Linked DNA regions of Mus musculus. The main gene of each other region encodes a partner of the protein of the gene in region 4 in a complex. Links are inferred from orthologs where the notes say so. Each region holds a gene or a part of one and is shown on either strand. Other genes may lie near its edges.

Region 1 (3,779 bases), about 28 Mb from region 4:
TTCTGTCCCCAGGACTCACGTGGTGGAAGGAGAGAATCAACTCTTGGGAATTGTCCTCTGGCTGCTGCATGCATGTGTGCTGTGCTATGTGCCCTATGCCGTGCACGCACAGTGTGAAAGAGTCAAATGCTGCCGTGGTGAACTTGGCAACTTTTAACTATTCAGTGTACTGGTGTTCAGCTTTAGGGGAAAGCGTTCGGAACAGAAAGGAAGAAACTTTGATGTAATCTCTGGTGTCTGCTCCTTGTACAGGGTCGTGCTGGACAGAGCGCATTCAGACTATGACAGTATGTTTCACCACCTGGATTTGGACATGCTTTCCTCACCACAACCTTCTCCAGTCAATCAGTTTGCCAATACCTCAGAACCCAATACCTCGGACAGATCTTCCTCTAAAGACCTCAGTCAGATACTAGTCGATATCAAATCATGTAGATGGCGGCACTTTAGGCCTCGGACACCATCCCTGCCTGACAGTGACAGTGGTGAACTCTCCAGTAGAAAGTTACACAGGAGTATCAGTCGAGCAGGAGCAGCACAGCCTGGGGCCCACACGTGCAGCACCTCCACCCAGAACAGAAGTAGCAGTGGCTCAGCACACTGTGGTACGTTCATCTGTGGTACCCATTGCTGTACCAGGGCGGGGCCTTCCATCTTGTTGAGGATGTGGTGTTTTATTCTCATACTGAGATGCTTAAGGATTTCTTTGAATTCTCCTCAGTAGTGCTGTTGCTCTGTGAGTTTGTGTGTGTGTATCTTTCCTTAACCACAGCCAAAAAGAGGTGGTATGTGGTATGTTAATACATATTTAATGTTTAATTTGTTACCTTAAGGCAGCCCATGAACCACAAGATTGATTTTCAAATAATAAAATAAAAGGGACCCCAAGTTGTTAGTGGTATGTACTTGAACATCTAATCCGGTCTGCTTAAATTTTGTGGCCAGTAGTCAGTAGTTACACGTGAACTTACACTGACACTCGTTCAGAATAAAGACCAGAGAAGCTGACTTAATATTTTGGAGACATTTTTAGATAATCCCTACAGGGTGACCAAAACACTGGAAACAGTGCCATGCCCTGTGACTTTCTATTTTAAACTACTGAGTCCACATTATCTGAGTTGTTAAAATTATAAAAGCTTACTGTCAGCGTGGCGCAGCAGATTAAGATCCCGAGTGCCAAGCCTGACAGCCTGAGTTCAGTGCCCAGGACCCACACGGTAGAAGGAAAGGGTCCCACTCCTTCAGTTTGTCTTCTGGCCTCTGGACATGTGCTGTGGCATGTGCATGCACACACTCATACATACATACAATAAATGAAATCTTTTGGGGTATTTTTACTGGTGGTAGTTGTTTTGGTAGGTATTCTGAAAAAGGGTTTCACTGTAGTTCTGGCTGTCCTGAAACCACTTTGTAGGCCAGGCTGGCCTTACACTCAGAGATCTGCCTGGTTCTGCTCCTGAGATTAAAGCAAGCACCACCATGCCTGGCTTATGTTTACAATATTTTAAAATCATTTCATTAAAGTTCTTTTAGGATGATTTTAATACAGATTTTCTTTTTTTTTTTTTTTTTTTTCTCTTTTTTGTTTTTTGAGACAGGGTTTCTCTGTATAGCCATGGCTGTCCTGGAAGTCACTTTGTAGACCAGGCTGGCCTCGAACTCAGAAATCCGCCTGCCTCTGCCTCCCAAGTGCTGGGATTAAAGGCTTGCGCCACCACCACCCGGCTAATACAGATTTTCTAAAAGAGGATTGTTTCCCTAATTACATAATTAGGTTACAATTAAAGTGTTTTTGATTGATAGATAGATAGATATTTATTTACACTTAAAATGTTATCCCCTTTCCTGGTTTTCCCCTCTGAAGACCCCCTATCCCCTCCCCTCCCCTCCCCCCTGCTCACCAACCCAACCATTCCTGCTTCCTGGCTCTGGCATTCCCCTACACTCAGGCATAGAACCTCCACACAGGGCCAAGGGCCTCTCCTCCCATTGATGACCGACTAGGCCATCCTCTGCTACATATGCAGCTGGAGCCCTGAATCCCACCATGTGAACTCTTTGGTTGGTGGCTTAGTCCCTAGGAGCTCTCGGGGTACTGGTTAGTTCATATTGTTGTTCCTCCTATGGGGCTACAAACCCCTTCAGCCACCTGGGTACTTTCTCTAGCTCCTCCATTGTGTACCCTGTGCTCAATCCAATGGTTGGCTGTGAGCATCCACCTCTGTATTTGTCAGGCACTGGTAGAGCCTCTCAGGAGACAGCTATATCAGGCTTCTGTAGTTTGGGGGACTTTAATGATTGTAATTCCACTAATTTTACTACTCTTTTTCTGTCCTGGATAGTCCTTAAAGTCAGGCTGAAGAGCTGGTGTAGTGAAGGCTTAACTGACACAGGTGTGGGGAGTTCAAAAGTGGAAACTCTTAATTGGTTCCCCAAAAATATTTTTGAAGATGTATGAAATTTTTTTGAGATTTTTATGGAGAAAGTAGCTATGTTCTATCAACCCACATCATGTCGCTCCTGTGGTGGAGACACTGAAGAGCATGACAGACCTCCAGATTGCATTTCAGTCTATGGAACGAGGTGTGCTGGCATGACTTACAGAGGCATGTCAGTGCCAGTTGCAAACTTTGCTGATTTGTCTCCCAAACATCATTAAAAGGTAGACATTAGCAAAAGTTACCCAAAAAAGCCTTTCATAGTTATGCAGCTTTTCTCCATAATCATCATTTGATAGTAGGGCCTTTTTAAATAATATGTTTATTTTCAAATATACTTAGAGAATAAATGCCTACAGGCTACCATAGAGTTACACTCTGTTTTCTTATTGGGATAGATATTCATGAGATCTGAGGCCCTCTCTGTGGCTCTACAAATTATGTCATATGTGCATTTAACATAAGTGAGGTCTGCTAGCTGCCCCTGAAGACAGAAAAGACAATCCAGCTATTTGCTTGTTACATGGGAGTCGAAGTGTTCTCCAGAGACAGCCTAGATCTGCCGAGGGTCTCATGAGTGTCAGCCAGGTCCTCTCCAAAAGCATCAGCAGGCTAGATCTTAGCTGTGCTGACTCTGCCATCCTGTCAGATGGACAGGAGTCAGCTTCAAATGTAACCACTTCTGATTATTCAGTTACTGACTCTGATTGAATCGAAACTTACAAGTGATGCACACCCCCACCAGGCTCCTTTTCTAAGTAGTTATTAGTGAATTGTATACACATTTTTTAATAGGAAATTCCAACTGAAGGTACCAGGAGTGTACTCACTTCCTCAAAGAGTGCCCAGTTGTAAGGCTTCTCACTGCTCGGGGTCCCTTCAGCTTGCTACTCAGTCTTGGCCATTTCACAACTCTGCACCCATGGAGGGTGTTCTGAGTAGGGTGTGAGGTAGCCTCCAAGAAGGTAATGTAAATGCTGTGTCCCCTTTGTCCTGTGTGTCAGAAGGGGAGCTTGGGGAGACTTAGTGATGGGGACTTTGAATGTCTAGGGCTAGATCTACATAGGGGTAGGATAAATTGTTTTTAATGATCGTTAGTTAATACATGATTTGGACTGGTTTCAAATAGTTTTCTGGGCTTTTATTAAGCTATAATAGCATCTTTTCAGTGTTTGCTCAGTGGTTGAGAATCCATCTGTTCTGTGCATTTGAAATTGGAGGGTTATCAAACTACAATAATTAGATGAGACCCTCATACAAGGGCTAGCAAGCAACATGGCTTAATAGGTAAAGGCTACATACCACCAAGCATGCCATCCCAATTCTATCCCTAGAGCC
Region 2 (4,480 bases), on a different chromosome or scaffold from region 4:
CCAGGGCTACATGAAGATACCCTGTTTTGTACTTTTCATCTCCCACCAAAAAAAAGATAAAAATAATATTTTGAAGGGAGAAAGGATTTGTTTTAGTTCACAGATCTTGGTATAGTTTATCACAGAAGGAATTGCAACACATGGCAACTAAGAAGCAGAGAAAAAGGAATCTAAAAGAAATAATTACATAGTTTCTGTTGTTATTGTTATTTTGTGACAGAGGCTGGCCTTGGATTTACTTAGTAGATGACTGTGGATCTGCCCCTCTCTCCCTTCTGAGGGCTATGATTAAAGGAATGTTGGATCTTTCAGGAACATTAAACAGAAAAAAAAAGTTTTGGTTTTGTTTTTAATTTACTTATTTTGTTTTTGCATATCCGTGTGTTTTGCCTGCACGTACGCACACACAATGCATCTGTGCCTGTGGCCTGTGGAGTCCGGAGGATGCCTCTGAATTTCCTGGCATTGTAGTTATGGGTGATTATGAGCCACTATATGGGTGCTAGAAATCGAACCAGGGTGGAACCTCTGCTAGAGGTCATTGCCTCTCCATCCCCTCACACTTAAAAGAACATTTTAAGTAGATTCCTGTAGGAAAGGAGAGGCCTTGCTGGACAGTTTCTGATAATTGTGTTTCTTTAGGCCTGTGTTATTTTTCCTCTAAGGTGTCAATTTTGTTTGTTTGTTTTTCTGTCTTTTGGAAACAGTCTCTCCCCACCCCACCCCCCTTTCTGTGTAATCCTGGAACTCGCTCTGTAGACCAGGTTGGCCTCGAATTCAGAGATCTGCCTGACTCTGCCTTCCAGTGCTGGGATTAAAGGCGTGTGCCACCGCGGCTGGCTCTAATATTCCAACTTTTTAGCAGTGACAAATGACCTCAGTATCAACTCCTCCTGGACAGTTTTATTTAAAGGCTTCTGACTCAACGTGCTAAACTCAACTCTGCTTTCAGAGCCGTTCCCCCCTTTATGTTGGAAGTTAAAATACCTTCTTTATCACGCTCTGGTTCTACAAGCAGTTCGGGACGGGGAGGTGTCACCAACACGCTGTTCGCGCTCGCGCCCCTGCTTACACTTTAGCCGCAGAGCAGAAGGCTTGTGCTTTAAGACCACCGAAAGCTCTGGGTGCAGTGTGTTGCATGACCCACTTACAACTTGGGGATGCCAACGACGCCTTTTCCCTTCCTTTTAACCCTGAAGCCAGAAAAACCCCAAACAAACAAAAACAAACCCAACAGACACCCAAACCGTCCTACTACCAAGGGGAAAGCGCGCCAATCACACAAAGAAAAGGAGGGGGGCGACTGGGATTCAAAATCATTTCTCCGGGACGTACATCCTCCCGAACCTATCGGAATTAACTGCGCGCCTAGTCAGAGCCAATAGACACTGAGTTTCTGGTCCAGGTCCCCCCTAAAGACAAATGGACAACCCTCTAGCCCAATGGAGTCGTGTGACGCTAAGGACTCGACCAATCCCGTTGGGAGGTGGGTGGAGTGTAGGCTAGGGGGGGTTGGCGGTGCCGTGTCATGGAGGCTCAGTCTCGCAGCAGCCATTGAAGGGGAAGGAACTGCGGGCGCGCGCGTGTCTCTCTCCCTCACTCTCTCTGTGTGAAAGTGTGTGCGTGCCCGAGTGTGCGCGCGCGGGTGTGTGGACTCGGAGGTGGGGGCAGCCGAGTTAGTCCCAAGTCGTCGGACTCCATTTGCTATTCTTTTCTTTCTCTCCCACACCCGTGTGGTAGTGGGCGTTCGTCTTTGCGTCTCTTTTCATTCATCTCCAGACCTTTAGAGGTTTTTTTAGGGTTGGGGATAGTGGGGAGGGCAGGCGAGGGGAAAGGAGGAGGACATGGAGATGAAGAAGAAGATTAACATGGAGTTGAAGAACAGAGCCCCGGAGGAGGTGAGATGACTCAGCCCCCATAGTCCCCTCCCGCCCTGGATCGTGAGGGGTGGGCTTCGGGGGTCCGGGTGGGTGCGCAGGGCGGGCTGGGAAGCGCGCCCCCACTTGGGGTGGAGGCGGGGTGTTTATTTTAAGTTTTAAATCACCAGGCTCTTGTGCTTAAAATGGCGAAGGGCTTAAGTTTCTAGGGGCATTTTCGTGAGCGCGCGGGGGCTCAGCCCCATGGCGTCCTCGCAGACTGGTGGCCCGGCATCGCGGGCGCGGGCGGCGTGGGCGCGACCCCCGGGTCCTCGCCACCTGCGAAGTTGGTGTAACTTTCCCGCGGCGCCGCCACTCGGCCGGCCGCGGCCCCGGGTGTGGGACTCGCGCCGATCTGTGCCCCACGCTCCCTCCGACCGTGCCCGCTCGCGGGCAGCACGCGCCGCGGCCGGGGCCGCAGCGGAATCCCGGGACCCGACGGCGCGGGCCGCGATCCGCGTGGCGCGCGGACTTTTACGCAAGCTGGAGGCTTGTGCGAGCCTCGCTGCGCTCAGTGCGGTCGTAGGGAAGAGTCCCGAGTCTTGAAGGGGGCCCGGGAGGCGTCGCCCCGACTCCCCGCCGTCGGATTCCCTAGCGGTTTACGCCAGGTCCGCGGGTCTGGAGATTGGCCGCGGCGGGCGGGGACCAGGCTCGCTGATTCGCGGCCGCGGCGTGAAATCGAGGGACAAGGGGTCCGCGCCGCCGTGGTCCCTTGACGCCCGCTCAAAGGCGGGCATCTGCCGGGCCTCCACAGTTATCATGCAGAGCCAACGGTCCCTGAGCCCTGCTGATTTTCGTGGTTCCTTTGCGGGTTTTGGTGACTGGAGGCGAGAGAGAGGTGGTGGAAACATTGTTGCTGTGAGGGTTATCTCTGGGAGCAATGGAAGTTTTCTAGAGCTTCTTAGAAGATTCTAGAAAAACTCAAAAGTTGAAAGCTGTCAGCAGGACGTGGTGAGTGATATCTGTAATTCTGTATATCTGTAAATCTGTACTTCTCATATCAAGAAATTCCCAGCCCTTGGGAGGGAGGCCGAGGTAGGACGCTGGTTGCAAGTGGGACTCTGTCAAACAAGGCAAAGCAAATCAAAACAAGCAGTTTCTCAGAAGTCTTGTGGAGCAAAAATGGGTCGTCCCCTCCGCCCCATCCTTTCACCTTCAATTTGGAGGATTGCTTGACATGCCTTTTTGCAGTCTCTTTCCTTTGGTGTGGTGTGGTAACAGTTAAGTTTATATAGATAGTTTATAAGGCACTCCCATTTATTTACTTTCTCCTTGGGAAAATGTAAGCTGGGTTGTATTGTTCTAGAATCCAAATTAGCAAATAGGAGTAAAGTTGAAGAGCTGGGATTCTGACACTAGGTCTACAAAACTCTTGCTGAGCTCTAAGAAGTCTCTGGTTAAGACCAGAATCCAAAGGCTTAAGAATTGCTTGGCGTGGTAGGCATTTAATTCAAGGCAGAGGCAGGCAGATCTTTTTGAGTTTGAGGCCAGTTTTGAGTTTGACTACAGCTGTCTCAAAAACGAACAGCCAGACGGTGGTGGCGCATGCCTTTAATCCCAGCACTCGAGAGGCAGAGGCAGGTGGATTTCTGGGTTCAAGGCCAGCCTGGTCTACAGAGTGAGTTCCAGGACAGCCAGGGCTACACAGAGAAACCCTGTCTCGAAAAACCAAAAAAAAAAAAAAAAACAAAAAACAAAAAACAAAACAAAACAAAAACCAAATGAACAAGTCGGAGATAGTGTCCCACGAGCTGTTAATCCCAACAGCCAGGAGGCAGAGGCAGGCAGATGGATTTCTGTGATTCAGAGACCATGCTAGTCTACAGAGCAAGTTATAGGACAGACAGGGCTACACAAAGACCATGTCTTAAAACAAAACAAAACAAAACCAAAACCCAAACAGACTTATCAAAATGTCCCTACCTGACACTAATGGTGTGACGTAATGCAAGTCATTTTGCATACCTAGGCTTCCCTGAGGCTATAACAGGGATATCTTTGTACCATTTCTGCTCATTTAAATAATGCCAAAGTTACACTCAAGTAGGGAAGATGACAGTCCTTGTTGCCTTTAAATAGACATTTTTTTTGCTCTGGGAATAGAGAACCAGGGTTTGCTTTTGTGATTACATCTATTCAGGTGCATAGGGTAAGTTTTGTTACTATATCTCAGATCTGTGGCTCAGTGGTTATGAGCCACCACTCACAAGGTGGCTTACAAACTCCCAGGAGTCCAACTCCTTTTCTGGCCTCTGAAGGCACTGGGCACATATGAGGTTCATATGAGGAAAAATGGATACACATTAAAAAATAAATAAATAAATTTACTGCCCAGAGATATTAAGAAATCCCCTTCTGGGCCGGGCGTGGTGGTGCACGCCTTTAATCCCAGCACTTGGGAGACAGAGGCAGGCAAATTTCTGAGTTTGAGGCCAGCCTGGTCTACAGAGTGAGTTCCAGGACAGCCAGGGCTACACAGAGAAATCCTGTCTCAAAAAATCTAAAAAAAAAAAAAAAAAAAAGAAAAAAAGAAATCCCCTTCTGAGCCAGAGAGATGGCTCAGG
Region 3 (4,450 bases), on a different chromosome or scaffold from region 4:
TGAGAAGTAATGAATTAGCAAGTCAAAACAGCTGACTTCTCCACGCTTAATACGTGGTTATTCAGATCACCTGAGGAATCCTGGCTTTCAGTCACTTCGTACTTTCAGTCACTTCATACTCTAATGACTATGACATTAACATGCTGTTTTTACTCATAAACTGCAATTCTGAGTCTGAATGCTGTATTTTAACACAATTTAAAATAATTTGCTTTGTCTTTATTTACAAAAGTAACTAAGGGATGAGGGAAACACCCAAATATCTTGGAAGACAGATAATGAGATCCATGTATAGCTAACCATAAAAAACAGAGTAATGACCTCTTTAAAAATAAAACCAGTTGTTCCTGTCTAGTATGTTTAGCATGCAAATGCTTTTAAAGTCAAATTTTATCATGACAGTTCATGCTTAAAGTTAGCAGGAAAAAACTTTGGAAGGCGATACTGACTGAAACTTTGGTGCGTAAATAGCTCTAAGTTTTTACAGCTAGGATTCAAATCCATGCTAAAACACTAGTGAATAGCCCTGAAAGAAAATGGCTAGAAACCCTGGCTCACCAGAGACATTAAGAACAGTCACTTATTTGCGACAGCATCTGCTCTAATCTGCAAGGCATTTGCAATACTTCAATATGGGCTTCCATATAAATAGAAGCTATTTGTTATTCAGAGGAGACAGTGCAAAAAGCCAGCTATTTTCTTTCTAAACACTCCTTGGTGTGAGGTAAACAGTCTGAAACACACAAGAGCAAACCACCAGCCTCTACCACAGACTGGGGAACAGGAAGACGCTTGCTTTTCTTTACCAGTATCAGGAGCAACTCCTGGGAGTTAAGCACAGCAGTGGGTGCCAATATATATTTGCAAGTTAACTACTAAGTGCTAAGTTCTGGTGCATATTAATGTAAGGGGTAAAAGATTAAAAAGTCGGGCTGTTGAGATGGCTCAGTGGATAAGAGCACCCGACTGCTCTTCCAAAGGTCTGGAGTTCAAATCCCAGCAACCACATGGTGGCTCACAACCATCCGTAAAGAGATCTGACGCCCTCTTCTGGTGTGTCTAAAGACAGCTACAGTGTACTTACATATAATAAATAAATTAAAAAAAAAGATTAAAAAGTCAAAAGTAAACAATAAATTGTAACAAACATTTCAAGTCTAAGAATTCTTACACTTACACACATGAGGGGTGGGGTGGGGGTAGGGGAAGACAGGCAGGTTCGAGCAAGTTCTTAGTAGGTTAAAGGTGTCTGCTCCCAATCTTGATGACCTGGGTTTGATTCCTGGTTCGCACATGGCATAAGTTAAGATGACTACCTCCACCTGTTCTCTGATCCCCCACCCCCACCCCCGCCCCCACCCCCCAACAGCATCCTATCCTATAAATAAATAAACGTTACAAGAAGCATTTGTGAGAAAGGGCCTTCCTTTTGGAGGGGGCATGGGTTTGCAAAGACCATGAGTCAAAATGATGAGAAGGAATAGTTTTGATCATGTATCTTCCAAGTATTGTATTTATTAGTTTCAGTACTATTCCTCCCCCAGGCCCAATTTTACGCGTTCTTAGAAAAAGTGATTTAGCAAAAGGCAAATAATGTACATTGACAGTACCAAGGATATGGTGTTAAAAATGTCCTCATCGCAAAGAGGACTACTTGTGAAACAGTCATGAAACCCCCACATAGCAGTTCCCTGGCTTCCCAGGGAATAGTTTCAACCATCTTTAGTCATGGAAGCAGCACACTTGATACCGACCCAGCAAAGTTTTCAGTTGGCCCTTACCATCTCTTTACTCTCCCCATCCCCCTCCCTCCACTTCCCTGATGTTCTTTCCTGGCATACAAAATATAGGCCAATGAGCAGTGGGTGGGTGAGGAGGATGTGAGAACAAATTTGAGAAGTAAAAAAGGGAGCAACTTAACCAGGACACGACATGAATGAGACTGAAGGGTCTAATAAGGGCAGGCAAGTGAATATCAGAGACTGAAAGAAACCGAAGGTGCTTTCCTAGGCTGCAGTGCGTGGTATATGGATGTAGGGTTAAGTAGAGGTCAGACTACCTACCACTCGTCAGAAGCTGGGCTGCTTTGGGTGACTTCTAGTGTCTCTTCCGACTCTGAAATGTCAGGATTTCTTTTTCACAAAGGAGAACGTACGGATGGTGGAAGCCCACTGACTTGGAACCCTCAAGTAGCAGCCTTGGCGGCTGACTCCCCGATACCACTCCTACGTCTCCCTCCCACACGTGCCCACCCCGCCCCCTTTCAGTATCAGCACCTCCACGTGCAAAATGCCTCTCGGCGCTGGCTCTACAATGGTGGGCTCCGTCTCCAGCCAAGCCCCGAAACTCTGTATGCTCCTGCCCCCACACCCCCGAGAAACCACTCTCCCACCCTTGGCAGCTAAAAAAGGCAAAGTCTCCTATCTAATCTTTCCCTTCAAGCAGAACGGGGTTGGGAGGGAGCAGAGGAAAAACTTTCTTATGTTTTTTTTTCTCCCTAAGAGAACCCTAAGTCAGGGGTTGAGGGGGGGAGGGGAACCCCTGAACGTTTAACGGCCAGTAGGGGGAGGGGAGCTCCGGAGACGGAGGGGGCGTGGGATGAAGAAGCAGGCCCGCGAGTGGGGTCCCCGAGCTGCGGCGTTCCGGGGGCCGGGCAGCCGCAGGCGTGCCCCCCCCCCTCAAACCTGGCACACAAAGCGGCCGCTGCGCTCGGCTCTCACCAGATCCTTTGTGTTTTCCATCAGGGCCTCATGGGTAGGGGCCGTCCGTGCTCCCCGAGCCCGCGGCGCCCCCTCCCCCCCCGCGAGCAGGGGGCCGGTGCCTCTCCCCGGGACTGCGGCGACTACAGGGGGGACCCCCGGCTGGGCCAGGGCCAGCGACAGCAGTGGCAGCCCCCGGATTTCCCCCCTTTTAACTCGGGTGGCCCCAGGATATCAACAACATTAGCATAGCCCTCCCTCCCCAGCGCGCCTGCGCCGTGACCCGCGCCCCGATTGGCCCACTTCCCCCACGTACCCTCCTCTCTCCCCTCCAGCGTGGGACCCTCGGCAGGCGCCGTACTCTAAGGACCGTACCAAGACCACAAGTCGATGAGGTAATTGAGGGCGCGCGGCACGACGCGGGGCTCAGAATCAGCAGGGCGAGAAGTTTCTTTCAGCCACTTCCATTTGGACTCCGGCCTCCCCGAGTCCCTTCCAATATGTTGCCTCCGAGAAGTTGTGTTGGGAAAAATTTCCACTCCAGTCACGCCGCTTCCCCCTCCACCCGGAAGATCGGCCTTCCCTGAGGAACTCCCACATGGGGCGGGGCCGCCGGACGGAGTGGGAGTGACGTAGCGCGCGAGCGCCGGTCACGTGGCTTGCGGCGGCGCAGACTCCTTCCGGCTCCCCGGGGCCGGGCCGAGGAGAAGAGCGAGCCGCCCCGGCACATGCGCAGTGGTACTCCACGTGAACGTCGGCGTTTTCCCCTCAGCCCTGAGGATGCCGCCCGAACGCAAGAGCCGGACGAGACGAGACCGGAGAGCCGGCGCAACGCCGGGGAGGAAAGCCAGACCCGGGAGCGGCAGCACGCCCGCAAAGGCCGCCCGTTCATCCCAACGGACACAGCCGGCCGAGCCGAGGGCGGCCCCTAGCGCGGGATCCGCGGCGGCGGCGGCAGAGGAGGAGGAGAGCCGGCTCCGGCAGCGGAACCGCCTGACGCTAGAGGACGATAAGCCGGCCGCCGAGCGTTGCCTGGAGCAGCTCGTCTTCGGCGATGTCGAGGACGACGAGGACGCGCTGCTGCAGCGGCTGCGGAGCTCGCGGGTGAGGAAGGCCTGCCTGCCTGCCCGCCTGCCTGCCTGCCGAGCGGGCACACGCTCTGGCGGGGCGCGCGGCGGGAGGCGAGGCCCCGGGGGCGGAGCCTGGAGGTGGGGGGGACCTGTGGCGGCGAGTGCTCAGGTGGGAGGGACCGGCGACCGCGGGCGCCGAGGGGCGCCGTCCGGCTCTTTCGCCTCGGGTTCTGGGCTGCTGGCTGGCGAGGGCGGGGACGCTGCCTTTCTCCGCCCCAAAGGGGCTGCGGCGCTTCGCATCCAGCAGGCGCTCAACTGTCGGCTTGGTTTGCCAAAGGATGTCTGCAAAGTAGAGTCGCTCATCTTCGGGCTCTTACACCCTCTGCTGGAACCACAGGGGTGACCGTTTGATCACCTGTCGCGACTCCGCGTAGTGGATGGAACCAATACGTGGGCAGAAGGCGTAAAGCTGCATTTTAATAACATCGCGGGGTGATACCCACGCCCAGCTTTTGAGAACGATCAGTGTGTATTCATCTCTAACCTTTCTTTGGTTGCTAGCTCTTGTAACAATTGCAAATCCTTCCTGATTGATGCTCTTTGCGCTATTATTTTTGTTCTATACCTGGTCCCTGGACTAAGGGTAGAGACACAGCAGTGGAGGAATCCCACAAGAACCCC
Region 4 (3,779 bases):
CTGCAGACTGACCCTGGCACTAGTTCCCTAGCACCTCCTGACAGTTGTTTTCCATGACATCAGGACAATCAGGCTTCATTCCATCTGCTGCTCTCTCCCTGTAGCCCAGATCCTTCCTCTTGTGCAAAACTCTGCTGTCTTCGATAGATACAAGATCCTATTAACCAGCCTTGCAATAGCCAGCCACTCGAATGAGGATCCAGTCACTGTTGCAGGCCAATAAGAAAGAACAGAGATCACGGTGTTCTTCTGCCCGTGGTACAGCTCTACAGGCAAGATGAACTAGTGAACACTTTTGCTGGACCAGACCAGTTTTGCATTTCTAATATGCAAGGATTAAAAAATTTTAGAACACAAGTTGCCAATAGCCAACAGTAAGAATAGAAATAACACCTTGCATTTGTGTAAGATTTTAATTTGTTTTCAAGTTAGTTTCATAACTTATTTTACCCTCACAACATCCCTGTGAGGTAGGCTGGACAGGTATCTCAATCTTACTCTTTTTTTTTCAATTATTCTTTTTTTTTGTTTTAAAGACTTGTTTTCATTTTATATGTACGAATGTTTGGCCTACATGTGTATATGTGCACCACAAGTGTACAGTGCCTGTGAGGGCCAGAAAAGGGCCTTGGATTCCTTAAAACTGGAATTACAGGCAGTTGTAAGCCACCAGGTGGTTGTTGGAAACCCAACCCAGATCTTCTCAGAGCAGCAAGCGTTCTTAACTGCTGGGTCACCTCTCTAGTATTCCCACATGTTTTCTTTTGAGACAAGGTCTTACTCTGTGTACTACGTATGCATTGATTCTGCAGGCAATTCTCCTGCCTTTCAACTCATAGTTACTTCTATCACATAGATGGAAAATTAAGGCTCTCAAAGGTTATCCAGTGATCGTAGAACCATAGTTTTTGAGCAAGGTCTTTCCCTCACTTCATTGCTCTACCATGAACAAGGTCAGTCTTTTAACTCATGGAATAAACAAACAAAAGCCTTGGGGCTAGATCTATTGTGTTTATCTATAATCCATAAGCTATTATTGTATCTGGTGGTCACTATTATTGTATGTGGCATATGTATGGGAGCACACATGCCATGGTGCACATGTGGAGTTCAGAGGACACCTCTGTGGAGCATTCTTCTTCTACCTTCAGTGGGGTACTGGGAATCAAACTCAGGTCAGCAGACTACCATGGCAAGTGCCTGTACCCACTGTATCATCTCACCTGCCCTTGCTGCTCTGAGCTGTCTTCCATTGTAAGTTAAGAATTGGTAAAAAGTGGAAGCAAGAAATGAGGAGCAGGTGCATCCTAGGTCTTTACCCCAAGAATATTTCATAGTCCAATCCAGTGATCTTGAAAGTTGCCCCTCCCAACCCCGCCACACTCACACAAGCAAAGAGACCAGAATGCAGAAGACAAAGAGTTTCCTATTCAATGGATAAAAAAAGAACTTCAAGACATTGCCACAGTCTGCATGTTGGATTTCCCTCTGTCACCCAGGCCCAGCAGGAGCTGAGAATCTTTCTGGCAACATCACCACTTGCAGCCATTCAATACTTACAAAGAGAGAGAGAAGGAAGGCAGGAGAGCCCATGGGGACACTGTCCTGTTAGAGGACAAACAAATACTGATCAGGTTCCACAGAAACTCTCAGCCACAAGTATCCCAAACCTCAGGACAGAGACAAAAGCACCATACACACAAAACAAAGACAAAATTTTAAAACTCAAGAACAAGAGGAAAGAGATCCCACAGCCATCTAGCCGTATCTAGCAGCCAACTGCTGTGAACTAATCTATCCCCAACCCCGACAGCACTCTCCCGGAGGGTTAATAATTCACTCACTGGGCTCTAACTATCTCCCATGGAACTGGTACTTTCAGTCACAGCAGCTTTCTTCAACAGTTAGACAGAAGCAAGCCATCGCCATTCTAACATCCATGCAGATACCACTGGCTTACAGAAGGTTAGCAGTATTAGAGTAACTTAAGGTTCTCTGGATGTTTTGAACTTTATTTTGGTCTGCTCACCTTCTCTGAAGCATCTTGTTTTCGGGTAGAGTCTCTCCCCCGGAGACTTTTAGCACTGATTCCAGACTCAGATGTTTGCATAATCAACTGTGTGGCCAAGAATTGCTGTAGGGAGAAGAAAAACGGGAGGCCATAAAGATCCAATCCAGTAGGAAAGAACTAACATACTTCACATTTTATAAACAGAACTTATTCAATTCTTTTTGGCTTACTAAAAGGCTAATTTCTAGCTATTCCTAAAGAACTTAGAAGTGAAAAGAAGCTTTAAAATAAGCCAAAGAGCCTTCAGCAATTAAAGTCACATGGCAAACTTAACAAAGATACACTACTGCTTCCAGATCAACATCACAAAGGGTGTGCAGTGTTATAACTGTAAGATTGAAGTAGACTACTTGTGATAACTAGGGGTTATAAAGTCTTGGTTGAATACATGTGCCACAGTATTTTATGTAACTAATAACACTAGCCCTTTATACATTGATCTGAAAACTTCCAATGGGGCTAGGGATACAGTTTAGATGGACAGTGCTGGTCCAGCAGACATGAAGCCCTGGGCTTGACTCTAACGTCGTCCGTCAGCTGGGTGTGTGGAGGGTGTGACGTAGCTCACAGGCACCAGATTTGTGACCTGTGAAGCACTGGTTTATTAGATTCTTGCCAACAAGAACAACAGCAACAACAAAAACCTTCAAAAACGGAATTCATTTGCCCAAGAAAAATACAATTTTTTAAAAGACGTTTATTTTATGTATATCTTCAGGCACACCATAAGAGGGCATCAGATCTCATTACAGATAGTTGTGAATCACCATGTGGTTGCTGGGAATTGAAATCAGGACATGTGTAATAGCAGTCAGTGCTCTTAACCACTGAGCCATCTCTCCAGCCCAAAAAGATAGAATTTGTATCATAATTCTTCCATCAAACCAATCAAATCTATAAAACTTCAGTAAGAAATAAAAATATTTACCAATGAACTCATCAATTCTTCTCTGCATTTCATCCCTACTGAAACAAAAATGAGCATCAATGTACCTGGATCTGTTCCAAGACATCTCTCTGCATCTCTACTGCCATGTGATAGACATCATGGTCTGAGCTATTGTACATAACAGCATTCTGAAACATCAGCATGATGTCACGCTGAAACTCAGCTGTGCTTCGGATCAGTCCATTTTCAATGTTTTTCTTTATAGTTGACAAATCCATAGGCCTAAATAAATAAATAAATAATAAAGGGGTAAGTGGCCACGGAGGAGGATTCACTTGGATTCCCAAGCACAGTATTACTATACAGTCCTGTTCATAGATACCTTCAGTATCAGCTACCAAGATTTAAAAGCTAACCCATTATCCCAGAGCTTATACTCAACTCCCCAAAAAGCCAATCTGCATAATAGGCATCAAGAAAAACAATGATAGGTGCTCATTCTTTTACACTATTAATGACAACACAGTCACTGCAATATAAGCCTTTAACAATCACAGCACTGGGCCGGTGGTGGTGGCGCACGCTTTTAATCCCAGCACTTGGGAGGCAGAGGCAGGCAGATTTCTGAGTTTGAGGCCAGCCTGGTCAACAAAGTGAGTTCCAGGACAGCCAGAGCTACACAGAGAAACCCTGTCTCGGAAAAACAAAACAAAACAAAACAAAAACAAACAAACAAAAACCAAAACAACAATCTCAGCACTGGGGAGGCAGAAGCAGAAATTACTCACTTTCTGTGAGTTTGAGGCTAGCTTGGTCTAT
Region 5 (2,789 bases), on a different chromosome or scaffold from region 4:
ACACTCAGTGTAAGGATTTTGTTCTGGTATTTAAGAGACTATGTACTGGCTGGTTTTATGTGTCAATTTGACACAGGCTGGAGTTATCATGGAGAAAGGAGCTTCAGTTGAAGAAATGCCTCCATGAGATCCAGCTGTAAGGCATTTTCTCAATTAGTGAACAAGGGGGAAAGGCCCCTTGTGGGTGGGACCATCTCTGGGCTGGTAGTCTTGGGTTCTGTAAGAGAGCAAACTGAGCAAGCCAGTAACATCCCTCCATGGCCTCTGCATCAGCTCCTGCTCCCTGACCTGCTTGACTTCCTTTGGTGATTAACAGCAATGTGGAAAGTATAAGCTGAATAAACCTTTTCCTCCTCAACTTGCTTATTGGTCATGATGTTTGTGCAGGAATAGGAACCCTGACTAAGACAGACTAAGAGAGTTAAATATGGATAACCCAGGTAAGTGTAATAAAAATGATAGACATGAGTGCAGGCATCTTTATGACACCCACTACTTAGTAAATACATGCTACTTAAAAGGACAGAGCAGGAACAGTGATTTACCCCTCTAGGCCCAGCGCTTGGAAGGTTGACATGGGAGGCTTGCTTGAGCCCAGGAGTCTGAAATTAGTCTGGATAAATTAGCAAGAACTTGTGGTTTATTTATTTATTTATTTGTTTTTTTTTTTTTCCAAGACAGGATTTGTCTGTTTAGCCCTGGCTGTCCTGGAACTCACTCTGTAGACCAGGTTGGCCTCGAACTCAGAAATCCCCCTGCCTCTGCCCCAACCTTACACATCAGACAAAAAGGATTTTACCATTTTATTAGATTAAAAAAATGAAGAGCACAAGTAAATGAAATGAACTAGGGAGGAACTGAGGGAAACAAGGGCGAAGGTTGGCAGAAGGGAGGGCGGAGTGGAGAGCCAGGTCAGGAGAGGGACTGTCTAGGGGTCAGGTGTCTCTATTTGATGACAATCTTCTGACGCAAGGCTCGAGGCCCAGAGCCAGGTAGTGGCTCGGGGGGTGGGGGCCCGGGGCCCAGCGCCGAGGCGGTGGGTGGAAGTCCGTGGGCAGTGATGTACTTCTTGTACGCCTCACGGATGATCTTGAAGGCTCTAGCAGTGGCATAGGGTATGTCTGTAACAGGGTCCCGGTACAAAGCTGGACGGTGGGTCACTGGGCAGACCTCCCGCACCGGGACCTTCGGGGGTCGCCCCTGGGGGAACCACTCTTCAAACGTTGCATCATCACTGAACGTGATGAAGGTGCGAGAGCAGTGAGCAGGAGGGGTGGCAGCGGCAGCTCCAGTCCCGGTCCCAGCATGTGGAGCCAGTGCAGAGGCTGTAGGAGCAGGATCAAGGCTGAGGGCAAGAGAAAAGTCACAAAATGCTGCGGAGACAGACAAAGGAAGGTGGTAGGCTAGGTTTGCTGGCTGTGACCTCAGTATTTACCAGGCCATGGGGCTGGAAAGATGGCTCAGCAGTTAAGAGCTGGGCTACTCTCCCAGGATAGAGGTTTGAGGCCTAGCACTCAAACAGTGGCTCACAACCGTCTGTAACTTCAGTTACACGGAATATGTCACCCTCTTCTGGCTTCAATGGGTACCAGGCCAGACAAAGCAGGCAAAACACTGATATACATTAAAATAAAATAAATAAATAAGCAAACAAACAAATAATAAAATAAAATAAAAAGTTGGGCATGATGCTTCACATTTGTGACCCCAATACTAAGGAGAAAGAGGCGGGTAGATCATGAATACTAGCCTGGGCTATATAAGGAGTTCCAGGCCAGCCAGAGCTACAGAGTAAGACCAACTCAAAACAAAACAACAGGAAGTGTCAGAGCCATTTGTCTGCTTCTCAAGTAGAGTAAAAGTCTGCCCGCCAGGCAGAGTCAAGGCAGGTCAGGGTCTGCTGCCAGATTTCCTGGCCTGCTGACATAAAACGTTAGGAAGAGATACACGTAAGGCTTGAGAGGAAGAGGTAAACATTCTGTTAACCTCGGAGGAAGGAACAGGGAGGCCTCAGGATGAGATCAGATACCCTATATACATGGCAGCAATTGTTTCTGCTAGCTTGTTAGTTTTATATCCTGAGACACTGCGGTATCAGAAGGCTACACGCATTACACTTGGGCTACTACAGTACTCACTGACAGACCCCTCTCTTGTCCTGTGTCTGCTGTCTTCTCTTTGATCATCCTCACTCCCCGCTCAGAGACTACTTACCTGGTGCTGGCAGCCAGCAGAGGGAAGGAATGAGCTGAGGTCTGAATGTGTGCAGTGAGAAAAGTAAACTCCTAGAGAAGCCGGGGGCACGGGGTTCACTCACCCTTCCACGTCCACATTTTCCTCCTTGGGGCCGGGCTCCCCAACAAGCGGCACCGTCACTGAGTGGTAGGTGATTATTGGCCCAGGGCACTTCCGCTTCTTGTGAACCTGCTTCTTTTTGTCAGCCTCCAGCCTTTCATAGGTCTCTGCAGGATCGAAGGGAGAAACGACAGAATGGTCAGCTTTCCTTTCCCACACTCTGGCCTGTCATCTACTTAAATTACACATATGTATTTTCAAGAGTGTATGTACATGAACACATGTGTGGAGAGGTCAGATGACAATGTGCTAGGGTCAGTTCTCGGCTTCCATCGTGTGGATTCCAAGAATTAAACTCAGGCTGTCACCAACTGCTTTACCTGCTGAGCTATCACAGCTCTCTGGGCTCTGTCCTGTGATTTTGTTTCTTTGTTTCTTTTTTGGCTTTTTGAGACAGGGTTTCTCTGTGTGGCTTTGGCTCTCCCGGAACTCAG
Region 6 (3,779 bases), on a different chromosome or scaffold from region 4:
AGAACCACTTCCCCTTCGGCGCTTCGGTCAAGCCAACACACCCATAGTGGAACCACTCTATTGGACACTGGAAGAGAAAATTTAAAAAAAAAAGGGGAGTTGGTATTTCTAAAGAACAGATAATAATAATAAAAAAAATGCTTAGGACACACAGTATTTCATTTAACCAAACTTAGGTCTGTGCGATCAGATTTCTTGGACCCTGGCAGTGACTAAACGTTACTGAGTCTGACAGATGTGCCTCATGGATGAAAACATGGACACCCAGGAAAAGGATGCTTCTTTGATAAGAGAGACGTCATGGACTCTAGTACCTGAGCACTAAAGAATGGACATTTATTTGCTGCCATCAACTTGGACAGCCGCCAGGCGGTGCCATCTTCCAAAGAATAAAGAATATGAATCTTACATGAAGAAGGAAAACATGTAAAAGACTTAAAAATATCCAGCCATAATTGTTCTCTGGAAGTGGAATGAGCTAGCTGTAACTAAAGCCATCAACTGGCTGTGTTTCCTTTCTGGTGCTCTATCCAGAGATATGGAGGAAACCCTCCTCTCTGAAATATTAAAAAATTCTTCACTCCACAGGAAGGCTTGATACCCACAACAGCACTGGAGGAACTACAGGGACCCCAGAGGACACTGCTTTAAAACACCTCCCCACATACACACACAAGTGACTGCACGGGACAGCTGGGGAGGGACTGTGCCCTTCTCAAGAGCACAGTGCACCCACCCTGTCAGGGAAGGAACACACACAACTGTCCTTGTGACTCTTGTTAATATCAGAATTCTGACACCACTGGTGTCACCAAGGTCACAAGTTTCATGCTACTCCTTTGAAGTACAACAGGTACAAAAGGGAGTAGCAGGTACAAAACTGCTGTAGGGCAGTTAAGGAATGAGCCAAAATCCCTAGACAATCAAACAGTATTTAATCAAACATGCATCTTTATCCAAAATTAAATCCCTTTTGTGGTTTGAATATGAAATTCCCCTGATAAGCTCAGTTGGTCCCCAGCTAGTAGCACTGTTTAGGAAGTTTCTAGAACCTTTAGGACAGGGTGCCTTGCTAGAAGTGCTTCACTGGGGTGGACTGGAGGTTTCAAACCCTGCCTCCACTTGTACTTGCTGCCTCCCTTCTGCCTGCCCTGGGTGGGTGAAACAGAATCAGGTGGCTTCCTGACTACCAGGCCAACCTTACACTCCTGCTGCCATGCGTGCCCTGCCAAGATGGACTGTGTTCCCTTTGGAACTGTAAGTCAAGAGACACCCTTCCCTGCCTTAAGTTGCTTTCTGTCACGGTGTTCTTATCAAGTAACTAATACCCTTCCTAGCACAGGAAGCAGGAGTCCTTTCTCAAATCTCCTCTCAGTTTCCCATCAGAGATGGCTTGTACAGTCCAAGCCCCTTGTGGAGAGAATGCCGAATGCTATAATAACGAGGGAAATAACCACACATTAGGTCTTAATTATCCCTGAGCATCCTTTTAGTTTCACTTCTTCAATGTGATAAACAACCAGGACTCTGGTAAATACAGTATCTTAGGCGGAAAGAAAAGAAAGCACTTCGAACTGCCAACAGTAATCCTTGTGAATTTAATCTGAACCTAACACGAGTAGTGCCACCTTGAAACACTGAAGCAGGAAAATCATTAAAGCCATGTAGATGCTTTCATCAGGATAATGTAGTTATCCCAAATGAAAACCTGATTGCCAAACTGGGAAATAGAATTAATAAGACAAATACTCAGTCATCTACACCTTTTTACATCCCAATATAGGAAAATGCAATACTCACATCTTGGTTATCACATCCCACCATCTCTCCATAGGATACCTGGTTCAAAGAAAATTAGATAAACATTACAAGTATGTTACAAGCATTTAAGAAGTTGGCACATTGCATAACCGCACAATATGATCTTCTTCTCTCTGATTCATAAATACTCAGTAGAAAAGCACTGCCTTTAAACTCACAGACTGGCCTTACAGGTAGCTAGTCAACCAGCGCCTTCGTCACGGGTCTCCCAGTCTCTAGCACCATCACAGGGAGGAGTTTCTGCTGTGTAGGCCACAGGGCCAGTGGTGTATTACATCATGCATGCAGGGTACATGTGTTGTGACATCAAATGTCTCACCATAGGTTGTATGGGAAAGTTGGCATTACACGTAATTCATGATTCTTGGTATTTATAGCAAGTATACTACTTTTATAAGACAAAAATTATAAGTAAACCATTCTTGATTTTAGTTAGCATAAAAATGTGCTGATTTTAAAACAGTTTTCTTTCTTGTTTCTTCAGACTACACTTTTATAGACACGCAGTAGATGTTTTTACCTGATTACAGATGCAATACCGAGGTTCATTTGGGTCGTAAGTCCAATCGACTTGACTGTTGGAGTCAGATTCGGGCACTACAGTTGCTTGCTGGGAAACTTCTTGTACTACAGTTGAAGACGATGAACACAGAGATAAGGAGGAAGAGGACGACGAGGAGGAGGAGGACGACGACTGCTGGCTTGAAGACTTGGTGTTGTTTCTGAAAAAATTACAGGCAGATTAGCTGCATTTGTTCACTGGGGCGGTTCCCCGAGAGTGACTCCTCGTCACCGACACAGAAGGAAAGGACACGCTGAGGTCTGACCCTAGGTTTACAATTTTTGTTTTCTGGAGAATAAGTTCCTTTAAGAAGGAAATATTCTTAAAATCTTCTATTTAAAATAAATAGAAGAAAATTCTCTTAAAATGTTTCAACTTTTAAAGATAATTTCTAAATTAAGGTTACTATCTACCATTGACTTAAAATTTTTGGTAGTGTTCAAGAATAATAGTTACACCATCTCACACTGTTAATGTTTTTACAGTAAATTAAAGAGTTCTTATCAAAACCTAAGTACAAATATAGAAAAGTATTTGGCAAAGTCCTAACATCAGTTGGCATGTGTCCTATGCCTATCAAGTATAGCTGGATCTGAGAGTATCAGAATTCAACAACTGTTTACCACCAACTCTATTCCAGAGAACATGCAGAAATTTATTATAAGGAGTTCAACTAAATGTGGGCAATTCATATCAATTTTAAGATGTATAATAGTTCTGTGGAGACTTTACATTGATCATTCTTTCAGGAGATTTTTGTAGAGAAGTAATACATTTAAAATAAAGATAAAATGCATTATTATATAACTAACTCTTTTGGTCTCTCATTTGCACCTTTTTTTCCTCCTTCAGCTCAGACAACAGGGTTTCTAAACACCTAAACTACAAATAGGAATAGTGACACAAAATGATTTATCTGAAAGAACAAAAGAAAGTAAAAAGAAGTCACTTACATACTAACTGAGAACAATTACAAATGACTCTAACAGTTGAAAGACTTCCTTCCTGCCTTCAAGGTGAGGCAGTGCAGAGAGCCAACTGCCTATCCAGTGTTTAGCCTGGATCACTGTACCCTGCTGTGGTTAATCCCTGGAGATGTATGGATACAGCTCCACACAACAACCCTGAACAAAGACACACACTGCCATGGGAAACTTACTTGCTCTTCCTGCCACTCCGCGAGTCCGTGGCGGAGGAACTGGCATTCTGGGTTAAGGTTGTCATGAGTGCCGATGAGGAGGAGTAGCCAGCTGTTTCTCTGGGTATGGAAAATTCTTTTCCCAGCTGGAAGTCATTGTTCTTAAATGCTTCGTAACTGGCTTTTAAACTCGATGTTCTTCGCCCTTCTTTCATCTTAAGTAGACATGTATTGACAACATCAATATATGTAAATATG
Region 7 (4,328 bases), on a different chromosome or scaffold from region 4:
ACCTTTTACTTCAGTACCACTGTACTCAGATAGTCCCAAAGGTCCAAGGCAAGGGCCTTCTCTTTGAGGCTTTCCCATTTCAGATCTCTCTGGCCTCTGCTTTGCCAGTATCTATAGATCTACTATGGATCAACTCTCACTTATTCTCTAAATTGCCTCTCTGCCAGGAAACTGCCTTCCCCTTAAACACAGTCCTTACAAAGGAGAGAAATTAAGGCAATTATAGAATTCCTTTAAAAATGTCGCTGTGAAGAGACTGAGGCACACCCCTTCCTTTCATAGGTTCATGTAACCAGACTCCAATTGTACTTTTGTGTGTGTCACAAGCCCTTTAAAAGTGAGGGGGGCACATTAATTAGACCATGTTTTCATCTCTTGGTCTCTGCCTAAAATCAAGTACATATCAGCTTTCTCATATGGATACTGGAACATTCTACATGTCTAAAAAAATGAACATTGAGGAAAGATCTCATATCCCAGGCTAGATGCAAACTTCCTAGATAGCTGAGGTCAACCTTGACCTTCTGACCCCCCTGCCTCTATCCTCTAATAGATTGTAAGCATGTGCCACTGTCTGGGCCTGGTCTGGGCAGTGCTGGTGATTCAAACCTGGAGCTCCATGTATGCTGGGGAAGCAACTTTACCAACTGGGCTACACTCGCAACCCAACTGATGGTCTCCAGTCTGAACAAAGGAGGAAAATTACATAAAGATTGCTTAGCATGCTGGATATGGTAGCTAAAATTATAGTTCTTGGAAATTTCCTCATAAGGAAATAGCCTTAAAGCTATTTTTTAAAGATTGATTGGAAAAACCAGAAGTCTTAATTTCAGAAGTCAGTCCTAGTAGTTAATGGCTGCTTCTGGAAAATGAGAGAAACCAACAATATTAATTAAAAAAATAATTCCAAGAAAATATTATTTATTTCTCTACAAAAATGTGCTTTTATATATACATAAAATGTTTCATGACTATTAAAGCCATATAAGTATTATTACAGGAAATACTTTTATGAAGACATCTTGGAACAAAGGAAGTTTCTTGCTCAGAATTACACAGAAAGTCGAAGAGCCAGCAATCAAATCCATCAAATCTGTATTTGCTGTAGAGAAAAATAATGTAATATTTGGAAGTGTGAAGCCTTCATAGAGCACTAATTTTTAATTAAGAGAATAAGATTACGCATGACTATATTGTTTATCCTTCCCTTTTCAGAATTTAAAGCACTTTCTCAGATGGCAGCTTATTAATCTTCAAAATACTGCTACACATCTAAGAAGGTTGTGATATAGCTGGTCTGTAAACTGAGGCCAGAAGGAAGGCACTTACCCTGTATTCTGCAACCAGGAATGGTTCTGCAACCAGGGTCAGATCTCCTGATCCTTACTGTATAGCAAACTTAGCTTTTCTGATGATGACCTAGAAGGTCAAACAAAGAGATGGAAAAGGACATAAAAAGATATGAGATGGTGACTTTCCTTTCCATCAGTAAATAAAATTTTATCTCACACAAAGGACATCAAAGCTGATAATGTAGAAATTCTATTTTTCTTGTAGTTTTATTTTCAGATAAATGTACTTTCTTGTATGTTTATCAATTTTGGAAAAAAATTAATTAATTTCTATTAAGGATAATGTGAAATAAATAAAATTGTAAAAGAACAGCAGTACAAACGGCTGCGAATCCTTCATCCAGCTCCAACAATTACCAACTGAAGGCCATCTTGTTTCATCTGTAACCCCACCCACTGCTCCCCCCCCCACGGTTTTTTAAGCTATCGGGAAAAAAATGACTTCAGAATTCCAGAATATTTCAAATATATACCATGGGAAAAAAAGACAAATCCAGGAAACCCCATCTGCCCACCCCTCACTTTAAATGATTAATCTAGGGTCCTGATGATACCCCTCCCCTCGCTGTCTATCGCTGAAATTATCCTGAAGCAGACCCTAGTCATCCATGGATTTTGAAGCCATTTTCTGACATCATTTAATCCCTAAGCATTTCTATTTCTTTCCACAAAATAAAGCATTCTGAAAACAGAACCACATCGCCACCATAAGCATTAAAAAAATTAATAATTTGACACCGATTTCATTGAAGAATATTAATCCTGCATTTAAAAATCCCCGATACGTCTTCAAGAAAATTTTACAATTGGTGTGCTCGAATCAGGATTCAAACAAGGCCTACTCCTCGCATGTGCTTCAGGAGGTCGTTCTCAATCGCTTTCCCCCCCTACATCCTTTTTCTTTTTGACTTAATGTGGGAAAATTCCGACCCCCACATTCTATTAGCAATTATGAGCTAGCAATTATTTTTATCAGGAAGGCTTAATAAATGCCTGTCGTCATAATTTCTTCTAAGAAAGAGGATGATGTACAGAAAAAGATACGATATCGAGCAAATTTGCGTAATTTAAAATTTTTCATCGCCTCTAGAAATATCTTTAGTAACAATTGCTACTACCTTTCGGGGACAGGCTTCACACCGAATGCCTCACACGCACTATTTTACTAGGCACATCTGAATCCGCGTCTGAGATAGCTACTATTACCATTTTACAAACATGGAAACCGAGACACAGAAAAGAGCCTTGCCCAAGCTGGGCGTTGGCGAGCAGGAATACGAATTCCGCTTTTCCTGAATGAGAAGGCACGAGTTAATCCTATCCATAAGTCAAGAAGAAAAGAGGAAATCATCTACCCTTCCTCCCCACCCCCACCCCGAAACCTGAAACGAGAATCCAGCTCTCTCCAGCAGCCGACGTGTGATCACTGCTGCTCCTCCAACCGCCATAGTAAAGCCAGGTTTCTCTGGCAACTGATATCCATAGGCAGACACGTCACCCTGGAGGCGGGCTTAGCCCATCAGCCAATCCTAGCCGTCTTGTCTGAGTTTTAGAATGTTCCATACCCAGATGATTGGACAGCCGCCCCCACGTCAGCAGTGACACTCAGCCGCAGTAAAGGCGGGTGCTAGCAACCTGCTTCTTCATGCTTAGGGCCGACTGCAAACCAATTAGCATCCTTCTTCAGTGAGGGCTCCCGCCAATGGCGATGGTTCTTTTAGGATCTTAGCCCGCCCTCCAAGTGCGCTCCAGCCGTTGGGTCAGAAGTCTATAGGGCAGCGCGTTCACGTGGCCCGTCTTCACGACCCAGAGTTCCCCTGACCGTGGGTTTTTTTTTTCCCCCCCTCGCGCTCGCCTTCTCTCCTGCAGGGAGGCATTATGGGTTTGTGGGTCCGCTCCCCTCCCCCGCCCCCGCCCCGCTGGGAAAGGAAGTGCCGACGTGGCTGGCGGAAACAGGCTAGGCGGAAATGAGCTAAGGTTCCCGCGAGTGGGAAGAGCGAGGGCAGACCCGGGGCCACGCCCCCGAGCCTGTTGCGCAACTCGCGGACCTGGGGAGAGAGGAAAAAAAAACACCAACGCCCCCCCAAAAAAACCAAAGGCAAAGGAATGGTGAAGGTTTTGAGGTGTGAGGCGTGTGAGGGTGGTGAGTGCCACTGGGCGGATGCCTGGATGCTTTGGAGAAACGGGGTGTCTGCGCGCACGCGGGCGCAGGCAGGCTCGCGTGGCTGTGGAGTGTGGGTGTGGGCGCACAGCCGCCCTCGTGGCGCTGGCGATGATGGGTGTGCGCAGGCGTGCTGCCCTGGTGGGGACGGGAGGGGCCGTGTGTGAGTGTGTGTGTGTGTGTGTGTGTGTGTGTGTGTGCGCGCGCGCGCGTGAGCGTAGGCGAGGTCCCTCATTTTGGTGGATTTTTCTGCCTTTTTTATGTTTGCAAACTGCATTAATAAAACTGAGAATAACTAGGACAGTGCTAGTATCTAAAGGAAAGGGCTTCTGTAAGAAAAGGCCTGCCGATTTAATCAAATTCCTTTCTTTTCTTTGCCTTTTTTCGTTTTTTTGTTTGTTTTTGAGGCCTGTTGTAACTAGGTAGCCCTGGCTGGCCTGGAACTCGGAGATCCACCTGTCCCTTCACGGCCTTCGAGCGCTGGGATTAAAAGCATGCGCCACTCCACCCAGTCCGATTTAATTTTAGACCCTAGAGATGATCATTATTCCCACATTATAGTCCACCAAAATAAACTTCTTCCATGGTTAAGATTCAGAACTATATTAGTAACGTAAAAGGGCGTTTCTTTCAAGTTTCCAGTTGTACACCCCCTCCTCTCTGTCCCCAAGGCCTCCCCTTTGCCCTTCACCAAATTTACTGCGAATCTCCCTTATGCCCCCTCACCAGGTTTATCGCTAAATTGGCACACAAAATTTTAATGAAAACATAGGCAACTAAATTCCCCAGTGATAGAGACAACTCCAGTTTCCTGT

The links.
Region 1: Brd8 (region 4) and Epc1 share a complex: the UniProt entries of both Homo sapiens proteins name them as parts of the nuA4-related complex. The link is inferred for Mus musculus from reciprocal best matches to the Homo sapiens genes BRD8 and EPC1.
Region 2: Brd8 (region 4) and Anp32e share a complex: the UniProt entries of both Homo sapiens proteins name them as parts of the SWR1-like complex. The link is inferred for Mus musculus from reciprocal best matches to the Homo sapiens genes BRD8 and ANP32E.
Region 3: Brd8 (region 4) and Mbtd1 share a complex: the UniProt entries of both Homo sapiens proteins name them as parts of the nuA4 histone acetyltransferase complex. The link is inferred for Mus musculus from reciprocal best matches to the Homo sapiens genes BRD8 and MBTD1.
Region 5: Brd8 (region 4) and Vps72 share a complex: the UniProt entries of both Homo sapiens proteins name them as parts of the nuA4-related complex. The link is inferred for Mus musculus from reciprocal best matches to the Homo sapiens genes BRD8 and VPS72.
Region 6: Brd8 (region 4) and Ing3 share a complex: the UniProt entries of both Homo sapiens proteins name them as parts of the SWR1-like complex. The link is inferred for Mus musculus from reciprocal best matches to the Homo sapiens genes BRD8 and ING3.
Region 7: Brd8 (region 4) and Morf4l2 share a complex: the UniProt entries of both Homo sapiens proteins name them as parts of the nuA4 histone acetyltransferase complex. The link is inferred for Mus musculus from reciprocal best matches to the Homo sapiens genes BRD8 and MORF4L2.

The regions. Positions count from the first base shown.
Region 1 is NC_000084.6:6,445,731-6,449,509, reverse strand, and holds part of Epc1 (enhancer of polycomb homolog 1), read left to right. Parts: intron 1-252; coding exon 253-605; intron 606-3,779. UniProt on the Homo sapiens protein: Component of the NuA4 histone acetyltransferase (HAT) complex, a multiprotein complex involved in transcriptional activation of select genes principally by acetylation of nucleosomal histones H4 and H2A.
Region 2 is NC_000069.6:95,927,753-95,932,232, forward strand, and holds the start of Anp32e (acidic leucine-rich nuclear phosphoprotein 32 family member E), read left to right. Parts: upstream 1-1,504; 5' UTR 1,505-1,844; coding exon 1,845-1,898; intron 1,899-4,480. UniProt on the Homo sapiens protein: Histone chaperone that specifically mediates the genome-wide removal of histone H2A.Z/H2AZ1 from the nucleosome: removes H2A.Z/H2AZ1 from its normal sites of deposition, especially from enhancer and insulator regions.
Region 3 is NC_000077.6:93,884,687-93,889,136, reverse strand, and holds the start of Mbtd1 (MBT domain-containing protein 1), read right to left. Parts: upstream 2,967-4,450; 5' UTR 2,742-2,966; coding exon of another isoform or gene 2,721-2,741; exon of another isoform or gene 2,064-2,720; intron 1-2,063. Other genes in the region: Utp18 (U3 small nucleolar RNA-associated protein 18 homolog), read left to right, coding at 3,480-3,803. UniProt on the Homo sapiens protein: Chromatin reader component of the NuA4 histone acetyltransferase complex, a multiprotein complex involved in transcriptional activation of select genes principally by acetylation of nucleosomal histones H4 and H2A.
Region 4 is NC_000084.6:34,600,643-34,604,421, forward strand, and holds part of Brd8 (bromodomain-containing protein 8), read right to left. Parts: intron 3,243-3,779; coding exon 3,065-3,242; intron 2,135-3,064; coding exon 2,030-2,134; intron 1,606-2,029; coding exon 1,561-1,605; coding exon of another isoform or gene 1,492-1,560; exon of another isoform or gene 533-1,491; intron 1-532. UniProt on the Homo sapiens protein: May act as a coactivator during transcriptional activation by hormone-activated nuclear receptors (NR). Isoform 2 stimulates transcriptional activation by AR/DHTR, ESR1/NR3A1, RXRA/NR2B1 and THRB/ERBA2.
Region 5 is NC_000069.6:95,120,935-95,123,723, reverse strand, and holds the end of Vps72 (vacuolar protein sorting-associated protein 72 homolog), read right to left. Parts: intron 2,463-2,789; coding exon 2,318-2,462; intron 1,346-2,317; coding exon 946-1,345; 3' UTR 673-945; downstream 1-672. UniProt on the Homo sapiens protein: Deposition-and-exchange histone chaperone specific for H2AZ1, specifically chaperones H2AZ1 and deposits it into nucleosomes.
Region 6 is NC_000072.6:21,969,871-21,973,649, reverse strand, and holds part of Ing3 (inhibitor of growth protein 3), read right to left. Parts: intron 3,737-3,779; coding exon 3,543-3,736; intron 2,544-3,542; coding exon 2,342-2,543; intron 1,840-2,341; coding exon 1,801-1,839; intron 68-1,800; coding exon 1-67. UniProt on the Homo sapiens protein: Component of the NuA4 histone acetyltransferase (HAT) complex which is involved in transcriptional activation of select genes principally by acetylation of nucleosomal histones H4 and H2A.
Region 7 is NC_000086.7:136,738,476-136,742,803, forward strand, and holds the start of Morf4l2 (mortality factor 4-like protein 2), read right to left. Parts: upstream 2,878-4,328; 5' UTR 2,735-2,877; intron 2,681-2,734; exon of another isoform or gene 2,471-2,680; intron 1,420-2,470; 5' UTR 1,330-1,419; intron 1-1,329. UniProt on the Homo sapiens protein: Component of the NuA4 histone acetyltransferase complex which is involved in transcriptional activation of select genes principally by acetylation of nucleosomal histone H4 and H2A.